Linked DNA regions of Callithrix jacchus. The protein of the gene in region 2 interacts with the protein of the main gene of each other region in a pairwise test. Links are inferred from orthologs where the notes say so. Each region holds a gene or a part of one and is shown on either strand. Other genes may lie near its edges.

Region 1 (4,482 bases), on a different chromosome or scaffold from region 2:
TTTTCCTTGTCTTTTTGACCCTTTGAACATAGCCTACTCAGTTCCCCAGTTCCTAAAGCGCCTCCCACATAGCGGCTTGGGGAGCGCTGTGGGAAGCCCTGGCTGAGACACTTATTGGAACTTTGTTCCCCACATAGGCTATTTAGGAGCGTCTCGGTTTCCGCGGGCGACTCCAGGGCCTCCCTGGCTCTTCTCTGGCTGCCAGCAGGAGTCAAGGGCGGTCCGGGGGGCGCTGACCATGGTCCTGGCCTCGGAGCTCGGGACTCGAGCTCAGGAGGCGACGGCTGAGGCTGCAGAGAGCCGCCGTCGGAACCCTCGCCCCTCCCGACCACCCAGGAGCCGCGGGCCTTCACGCAAAGCCTCCCCCCCACGCTCCGAGCCGCCTCAAAAAAGGGTGGGGCACCCAGCCGCAGCTGCAATAGGAAGCCGCCCGGGAGGGTTTCAGAAGAATGGAACCGCAGCCAACCCTTCCCAGGCGACCACCGCCCGCCCCAGCCCGGGATCGGCCCATCCCCTCTGCCCACCCCCCACCTCCCAAGCTCAAGGAGACGCGGGCAGCCTTTGTGGGCGCACAGCCGCCCACCGCCCAGCCCGAGCCTCGCCGCGCCCTGCGCGGAGAAGGGGCGGAGGGTGCGCGTGCAGATGCGGGAGGCGAGGTCCAGGGCGGGGCATGAAGGCGGGCGCGCCGGGCTCAGGGGCGAGGGAGGGGCAATCCCCGCGCCCCGTCCTGCGTCTCCACCCCCCACCCCCACACCGACCTGGTCGTAGATGTTCTGCAGGGCTTCCTTGCCCGAGGCCCTCCGGATCTCCACCTTCCGGCCCGATTCAACAGATGGCTCCCCGCCGGCGCGCCGGCCCTGCCGCGAGTACGGCGGCTGTGGGTCCGGGCCCAAGTGGGCGACGTCCCGCTGCTGAGCTACCACCTGCCCCGAGCCCCGGCCCACCGACAGCGAGTCGAAGTCGATGGTCTTGTTCTCCGAGGACCCTTCCACCGGGCAGAACATGCCACAGAATTTCTGCCGGGGCTTGGGGCTGCCTGAGCCCAGGTTTTTAAAAAAGGCAGGGACCTCTTCGTCCTCTGCCGCCTTCCCAGACTGCTTTTTCTCGGCCATGGCTCGGGGGCTCGGAGAGGGTCCTCGCCGTCCGTCCGTCCGTCTGCCAGTCCCTAAGTCTCCCTCGCGGTGTGCACAAGCCCCCTAGCTGCTGCAGCGGCTGCCGCTCGCTGCCCACCGCAAGGTGCACAGAAAGGAAGGAGGGCTGGCGAGCCGGCGACCCACCCTCCCGGTCCCTCCCCCTGACCCCGCTTCTCCCCTCCCTGCCCACGCCCCCCGCGGCCACCGCGCGAGCTCGGGCGAGCGGCAAAGTTGGATCTGGGAGGGCGGCCGCTGCGGCTGCGGGAACGGAGAGGCTGCCAGTTCCCGGCAGCGCGGGGAGGAGGGAGGCGCGGGCGGGGCGCAGGCGGGGCGCGGCGCCAGGGAGGGGAGCGGCGCGCAGGGGAGGGCAGGAGGGGAGGGAAGGAGAGAGAGAGAGGGGAGGGCGGCACCGCCCCTAGCCCAGAGCTCCGGAAGTGAAGCGGCCAGACCACCGGCTAATGGATGCGGAGCGGAGGGCTAGCTGACTGCTCTCCGCGCCTGGGTAAGTATCGGGCAGGGCACGCGGGGTGAGGACCGGAGGGCGCAGCCCCCGGCCCCTGTGCCCCTCTCCCCCACCTGCCCGGCCCAGGCACCTCTACCTGTAGTGAGGCTGTGGTCGGCCGGGGTCGAGGGCGCACTGTGGCTACGGCTCCCTCCCCGTTACCCTGGGTGTGAGCTGATGGATGGGAAAAGGGGACCAGCCGGGCGCCAGCCTACTCCAGGTGTGGGAAGGGGGGTGGCACTGAAGATGAACAAGGGGTGACACAGGACGGGGGCAGCCGAGACGCTGGACACCCAAGCTTCAGTTTGCCCACTCGCCTTGGCAGGCTGCAGGGAGCAGAGAGACTAAAACCGTAAGATTCCCGCTTCGTGCATCCACTTTGGTGTGGTTGAGGTGGCGGGTGGTGGTTGGGGGGGGCACAACATGGCGGGAAGAAATGCAGAGTGGCGTAGCAGATGGGAGACGAGTATAGAGAGAGACGCAGGTCTGAGGTCTATAAGGGTGTAGCAAAGAGTGCGGTGCGGAATTCCAGCCCAGTGCCACGTCTTAGAAAGGCGGTGCAGACCCGCTCTATTGCCCAAGGGCGCCATGGACCCTTTCTGCACCACTGCGCCAAAAAGGACGCAGGAACGTGTCGCGATTTGGTTTCTTCTGCTTCCCCCCCAAAAAATAATAATAAAAAGGGGGGGGAGAAACAAATTGAAACCCCCTCCCCAAATCTCCAGCTGTTCCCGGCGCCCCAGCGCCCCGCCTGGCTCCCCCGCCCCTGTTGCGCACTGCGCCACAGACGCGGCGTTTCCCAGGTTACCAGATGCCACGTGTTTGGGAGTGAGCGCGGATGCGCATCTGGTGAAGAGTAGGAGGTAGGTTGTGAGTACCGTGAATTGTGTGGAGCCAAGCGGAGGAAAGGTACGTAGGAACTTGGTGTGCGTGTGCAGGTAGTGGAGCTACTGCCACCGAGGTGGTAAGGGGGGGGGGGCAATTGGATTTGCTGCGTAACGCGGTCAGTGCGGGTTCTTCATTGCTTAGTCCCATCTCCACGTCCTTTCTGCGTATCAGACCTTGCCTCTGCCGGATGACAGCCCCTCCTCTCTTTCCACAGTGGCAAGATCCTGCGGAAATGGTGCCCCTCCTTTGGCGGCCCGGGAGGGAGGTCTGGGCATGCTCAGTAACCTGGGTGGGTTTGGGCTGAGAGGCCGTTTCCCGCAAGGCCACTGCGTAGGGCCTTGTGACCAGGAATCCTGTCCCATTGTCAGCCCAGGAGTAAATGCGGTTACCAACCACTCCCACCGTTCAATTGTAGGGATAGTTTGGTGAATAGAGTTACATCTAGTGGACCACCAGTTGCAGTTTGAAGATCAGCCCACCATGATGGTAGAAAGTCGTCTCCAGATGAGAAAGGGAGACTGAGGAAGAAGAATATAGGAGTGGAGGGGCTGAGAGAACCCGACGGGCCAGATGTGCTTTGCATTTGAATAAAGCATTTGAAAAAAAAAAAAGCGATTCCAACTGAATTACATCATTTCCCACTCACAGCCCCCTGTAAGATTCATGCTTATCAGCACTGCTTTCCAGGTTGGGAAACAGATTTAGAGAGCTTGGTCCAAGGTTGGGTATCTACTTAAATGATTCAACAATTCCAGTGGGGTCTTCCACTTCAAAGTCTGGCTTCTTTTCCAGCTTGTCCTGTGACCCCCTTTATGTGAGAAAATACAAGGTTCTTCTTTTTTTTTTTTTTTTTTTTGAGACGGAGTTTCGCTCTTGTTACCTAGGCTGGAGTGCAATGGCGCGATCTCGGCTCACCGCAACCTCCGCCTCCTGGGTTCAGGCAATTTTCCTGCCTCAGCCTCCTGAGTAGCTGGGATTACAGGCACGCGCTACCATGCCCAGCTGATTTTTTGTATTTTTAGTAGAGACGGGGTTTCACCATGTTGACCAGGATGGTCTCAATCTCTGGACCTCGTGATCCACCCGCCTCTGCCTCCCAAAGTGGGATTACAGGCTTGAGCCACCGCGCCCGGCCCAAGGTTCTTCTATTTCTACCATATTTCCATCTGTGGCCCTATTGTATATCAAGGGTATTTCTTGCCATGTTTTTATTAGAAAGTCACACTACAGATCACATTAGGAGGAAGAGGCATGGGAAGATAGCCTAACTTCAGCGTAGAGGTCATTCTGTAGACCATAGAGATGCTTCTTTCTGGGCAGTGTCTTTTTACATTCTGTTTCCTCTAAATATCCCGGTGGGGGATATTTAGTGTTGTGTTCACAGATGTGAGCCACTGCACCTGGCCCTCCCCCCACCGGCCCCCATATTTTGTTGTGTTTTTGTTTTTGTTTTAGTTTTCAGGCAGAGTCTTCCACTGTGACCCAGGCTGGAATGCAGTGGTGCAAACGCAGCTTACTGTAGCCTTGACCTGCTGGACTCAAGCAATCATCCCTCCTCAGCCTCCCAAGTACTTGGGACTACACACGAGTACCACAAGCTCAGCTAATTTTTTTATATTTTTTTCTTTTTGTAGAGGCAGGGTCCTACTATGTTGTCCAGGCTGGTCTCAAACTCCTAGGCTCAAGTGATCCTCCCACCTTGGTCTTCCAAAGTGCTGTGTTCACAGATGTGAACCACTGCACCTGGCCTTCCCCTCACCGGCCCCCGTATTTTAGAAAGGAAAAGTCAGGCATAGAGAAGTCAGAAGTCTCAGGTCCCTGGGGCTCCTGGGCACAGAGGTGAAGTAGCATTTTGCCCTCCTGGCTCTCTGGCACCCTAGTGTCTTCAGCACCTGCCTAAAGATTCTAGAGATGTACGCACAGCGGGAGCAGCTGCTGATAGAGGTACAGGACAGCATT
Region 2 (4,257 bases):
GGACACAGCAAGTGTGGGTGGGGGCAGAGAGCATTATGTGGTATCCCTGAACCCCTCGACACACAGTGGGAGCCCTGCCCAACCACCATCCACTCACCTTAGCTTCAGAACCTGGTGGGGTTGGCTGGGGACTGGAAACACGGGGTGGTGGGAGGCCAGGGCCACAGCGGGAGTGTGCCCGCAGGAAGTGGGCAGACTCTGTCCCAAAGGCAGGGCCAGGCTCCTGGAGGGCAGGGCACAGCAGAGAGAGCAAGCAGGCTGAGGTCTGGGGCTGAAACCTCAGGACTCTGGCTCTTTTGGCCCTTCTGACCTCTGCATCCATGTCCCTCGGGGCATCTTCCCTCCTCAAGGGACACTTGTCCTCATCAGCACATAAACGTGTGGATATCAGATTTTTAAGAAAACAGTAACCACCTCTCCTTCTACCTCAGTACTGGGCCAGCCACCACTCTCTCCCCTCCTTCCTAGCCAAGCTTCCGGCTCTAGTCCCCCAAAGTTCCTGATGGCTGGCCTCCAAGTCCTCAAATCCAGGCGGTCACTTCCTTGGTCTCGTTGTCCTCAACCTGACAGTAACTCCTAGGTCTTACTCCTCAGATCCAGTCCTGAATTTCCATCTGCTTCCTGGATACACTCCCACCCCCTGGGAGCGCCACAGATGCTTCAGCCCTGACACATTCGTGTGACCTTGCCTTTCCTCTCACTCTTACTCCTCCTGCTGAGTCCTTGGATGGAGGGATGGTGCTGCTCTCTACCCAAGACAGAGCACCCCCCACCATACTTCTGCCCTTCCCACTGTCCTCAGAAATAAAGGCTGAAAGTGGTTAATGTGGCCCTTGATGATGTGGGTCCGGCTGACTTCTTGGTCTAACCTCACGCCTTTGAACTGTACCTAGCATCTCCACTGCTATGTGTCCTGTACCTAGCATCTCCACTGCTATGTGTCCTGTGGTTGGGGAGGTTCCATCTTTTGGGAATGTTCTCTACTGCTGTCCCCTTGCATAACTGCTGCTTGCCCCTTAGGATCAGCTCCCCCCATCATGACTTTGAGAAGGCCCCCCTCAGTCCTGCCCTGCAGCAGAGTCAGGGTCTCTTAGTCCTCTGTTACCTCTGTGACTTTCCTCCCTCCCCAGATCAGAATATAGTTAGTTGCCTGTTGGCCAACAAAATGACTAATACATCCGGTGCCCTGAGGCAGGTACCTGCAGCTGGGCCTTGACGCGGGACTCCACCTTGTTGTACTTGGGCGAACGCCACAGAGCTTTCAGGGGCCTAGGCTGGCCCTGCTCCCGGCTGCGCTCCCGTTCTCTGAAGCGCTTCTGAATCTCCCTGATCCGCCTCAGGTTCTCCTTCTCATGGTCTTTAGGGTCCTTCCCTAGAGAACAGATGCTGCAAGGCTCTGCCCTACATATGGCCCACACAATCCAATTTCCACCAGTTCACACACAGGCCTGTCCTCCGCCCCTTACAGAAAGAGCCCCCGACCTCTCGTCTGCCTCATCATCGTGTTCCCTTCCTCACGTATTTAGTATCTCGTGATGATTTTTCTCATTAATTGAGACAGGGTCTCACTCTGTCACCCAGGCTGGAGTACAGTGGCATGATCACAGCTCACTGCAGTCTCAACCTCCTTGGCTCAAGTGATCCTCCCACTTCAGCCTGCTGAATAGCTGGGATTAGAGACATACTCCACCATACCGGGCTAATTTTTGTATTTTTTGCAGAGATGGGGTTTCACCATGTTGGCCAGGCTGGTCTCCAACTCCTGGGCTCAAGTGATCCGCCCGCCTCGGCCTCCCAAAGTGCTGGGATTACAGGCATGAGCCACTGCTCCCAGCTGTTTTTCTCCATTATTACAGTGAAGTATACTATTAATTATCTCATACATGACATTCATCTCCTGTTCTTTGTCTCCCACCTTGATTCGATGGATCATGCTTGTCTTCAACCCTGTGTTCTAGCACCTATATGGCCTGGCACACAAGTTTGACGGGTAATAAATGCATGAAGCAGAGCTAGGACTTTGTGGGAACTACCTCACTCAGTTCCCCTCCGAGAAGGTAGCACATTTCTCCCCCTTTTTATGGTTGGGGAAACTGAGACTCAAGAGAGCAAAGCCTGGGCCGAGGTCAGGGGGGAAAGGGCAGCTGCTTTGATGTCTTTCCACCCCAAACTGTCTCTCTGCCCCTTCTTCTCTTCCTGGGACTTACTCTTGAGAGAGGCCCCAGGACCTAGGGAGATGCCCTCAAGTTGCAACAGCACGTCGCCGACGCCACGCCGGCGGCGCTCCATGATCTCTCGGGCGCCGGGACCGATGCAGGGCCCACGGGGAGCGGTGGCGTCCAGGGCTCGGTCCGAGGTCAGCAAGTCCAGCTTCAGCGCGTTCCCCTCTAGTCGTCCTTGAGCTGCGTGTGGGGTGGAGCCGGGTGGAATGCGGGGCTCAGAGGTGGAGCCGAGGCCGACCCCCGAGCCTCTCGCCACCGCCGCGCCCCCGTACTCACCAGAGGCCGGCCGCCGGTAGTAGTCAGGGCAAAGCGTCGGGTCTGGGGGGATGGGCCCGGAGATACGGGACGGGCCCTCGCACATGCCGCCGGCGCCGCCCTTCAAAGGGGCTCCGAGTCCTGTCGAGCTCTATACCTCCCTCCCTGGGCCCCCTTCCCAGCTCCAGGCCTCCTCCCTAGTCCGGGACCCTGACCCTAACCTGGACCAAGGAGGGCCGCCCGTCCCAGGACCCTCCCAGTCCCCGCCCCGACCTCGGCCTCGTTTGTCGCCTCCACGACCTCTGCTCCCAGCCCACTTCCCGGTCCCGCTCGCGCCCCACCCCCCGCGGCACTCGGGCAGGGGATCACTCGAGCGGTTTTGCAGCCAGCTGTAGCCACTCGACGGGAGTTGTTGTTGCCGGGCAACCGTGGCTTCCGTCCCCGGGGTCAGGGCTCACTGACCCTGGCGCAAAGCCTCCTGGGGCTTGTAGTTTCGGCCGAGGGTGGCCGCCGGTCTCGCTTCCCAGTTTTGTGCTCGCTTGCTGGCCGGTCTCCGGGGTCCGCGCAGGGCCACCATCCAACCCCTCGGGTCCGCCCCAGGACGAGGATGCACTGAGCCTGCGGAGCCATGGCCTCGGCAGGGGCGGAGAGGCGGCCGGGGTTCCAGGAGGCGACGGTCGTGGGGCAGGCACTGCTCGCGGAGGACCCTGGCCGCGCTCAGACCTCTGAGGTGACCATCAGGCTGTTTAGCATTCAAACACGGAGCCGTAGAGCTCTGAGAGGTGGAACTCTGAGCGCCCCGACTCCCTAACTGGCTGGCTGGGCTCTCCAGGAGGGGAGAGGCACACAGGCTGTTTCGGTGTCTAATGTTAGGTGTTCAGTGACTGATCCCTATATCTTTTGCCCGGCCATGGTGACAGATGGTCTGTGTGTCACCTCTAGTGTCCAGTGACGGGAGACCAGTTCCTGGTGCCAGCCCATGAGGCCGGTGGGACCCATGGTGAAGACCAGCCCCCAGCAGGAGCCTCCTCAGAGCCGGAGCTCCAGGAGGAAGGACCCAAACTGGGGGAAGAGAGGCCCAAGCCGGAGGCTGGGGCACTAGAGGAGAGAGGCCCCAGGCCCGTGGTCTCTGTAAGGCCCCATCATGGTCCAAAGAGGAAGCCTGTCAAGTGAGGGGGCTCTCGGAGGGAAGGAGCTGCAGGCCCAGGGATGGGGCTCACACTCCAGTAGGATTCCTAAATCCTGCACTCCTGCAAGTGTGATTCTTGTGTCCACCAGTACTACCCTCACTCCCCTCTCTTTCTGTTCCTGAAGACCTTCCCCCTACTACCCCTGTGTAGGGAGCGGCAGGAGAGAGGGGGCTTCAGGGTTTGTAGGGGACTGGGCTCACCTGGCTCTAAGCCTCTCTTGGGCCTGGGGCCTCACTGACCATGAACCAGGCAGGCATTGAGCCCTGGGGTGGTGGGCAGGCTGGGCTATTCCCTGGGCCAGGGCTGGAGCCTGGCTCCTCAAGTTTCTTGTCCCTGGCTCAGGTCCCTCAGCCTCCCAGGCCACCATGCCCATCTGAGGGCTGAAGCTGAGCTGCCACCCAGGCTGCTGCTGCAGGAGGAGGAGCGAGAGGGTAGCCAGAGTGAGGTCTCATCATCTGCCAAACAGCACAAAAAAGCCAAGAAGCGCAAGAGCCTGGGGGCTCCTGTGCTCCACTCTGTGGCCAGCACGGCGTCTGCATCCTTAGAGATGTTGGGGCTGGAGCGTGAGTGGCAGTCCCTGAGCTGTTCCT

What was found.
Region 1: the proteins of ENKD1 (region 2) and PNMA2 interact in binary tests that used the Homo sapiens proteins (3 or more experiments, as listed by UniProt). The two-hybrid records come from large-scale screens. The link is inferred for Callithrix jacchus from reciprocal best matches to the Homo sapiens genes ENKD1 and PNMA2.

What each region holds. Positions count from the first base shown.
Region 1 is NC_133514.1:15,061,129-15,065,610, forward strand, and holds the start of PNMA2 (paraneoplastic antigen Ma2), read left to right. Parts: upstream 1-1,578; 5' UTR 1,579-1,987; intron 1,988-2,444; exon of another isoform or gene 2,445-2,544; intron 2,545-4,482. Other genes in the region: DPYSL2 (dihydropyrimidinase-related protein 2), read right to left, coding at 759-1,112.
Region 2 is NC_133521.1:25,174,446-25,178,702, forward strand, and holds the start of ENKD1 (enkurin domain-containing protein 1), read right to left. Parts: upstream 2,902-4,257; 5' UTR 2,584-2,901; coding exon 2,499-2,583; intron 2,403-2,498; coding exon 2,208-2,402; intron 1,373-2,207; coding exon 1,200-1,372; intron 838-1,199; exon of another isoform or gene 607-837; coding exon of another isoform or gene 595-606; exon of another isoform or gene 224-594; coding exon 98-223; exon of another isoform or gene 1-97. Other genes in the region: C20H16orf86 (uncharacterized protein C16orf86 homolog), read left to right, coding at 3,106-3,207, 3,420-3,646, 4,010-4,230. UniProt on the Homo sapiens protein: Microtubule-binding protein which regulates microtubule organization and stability. Promotes the stability of astral microtubules and facilitates the proper orientation of the mitotic spindle.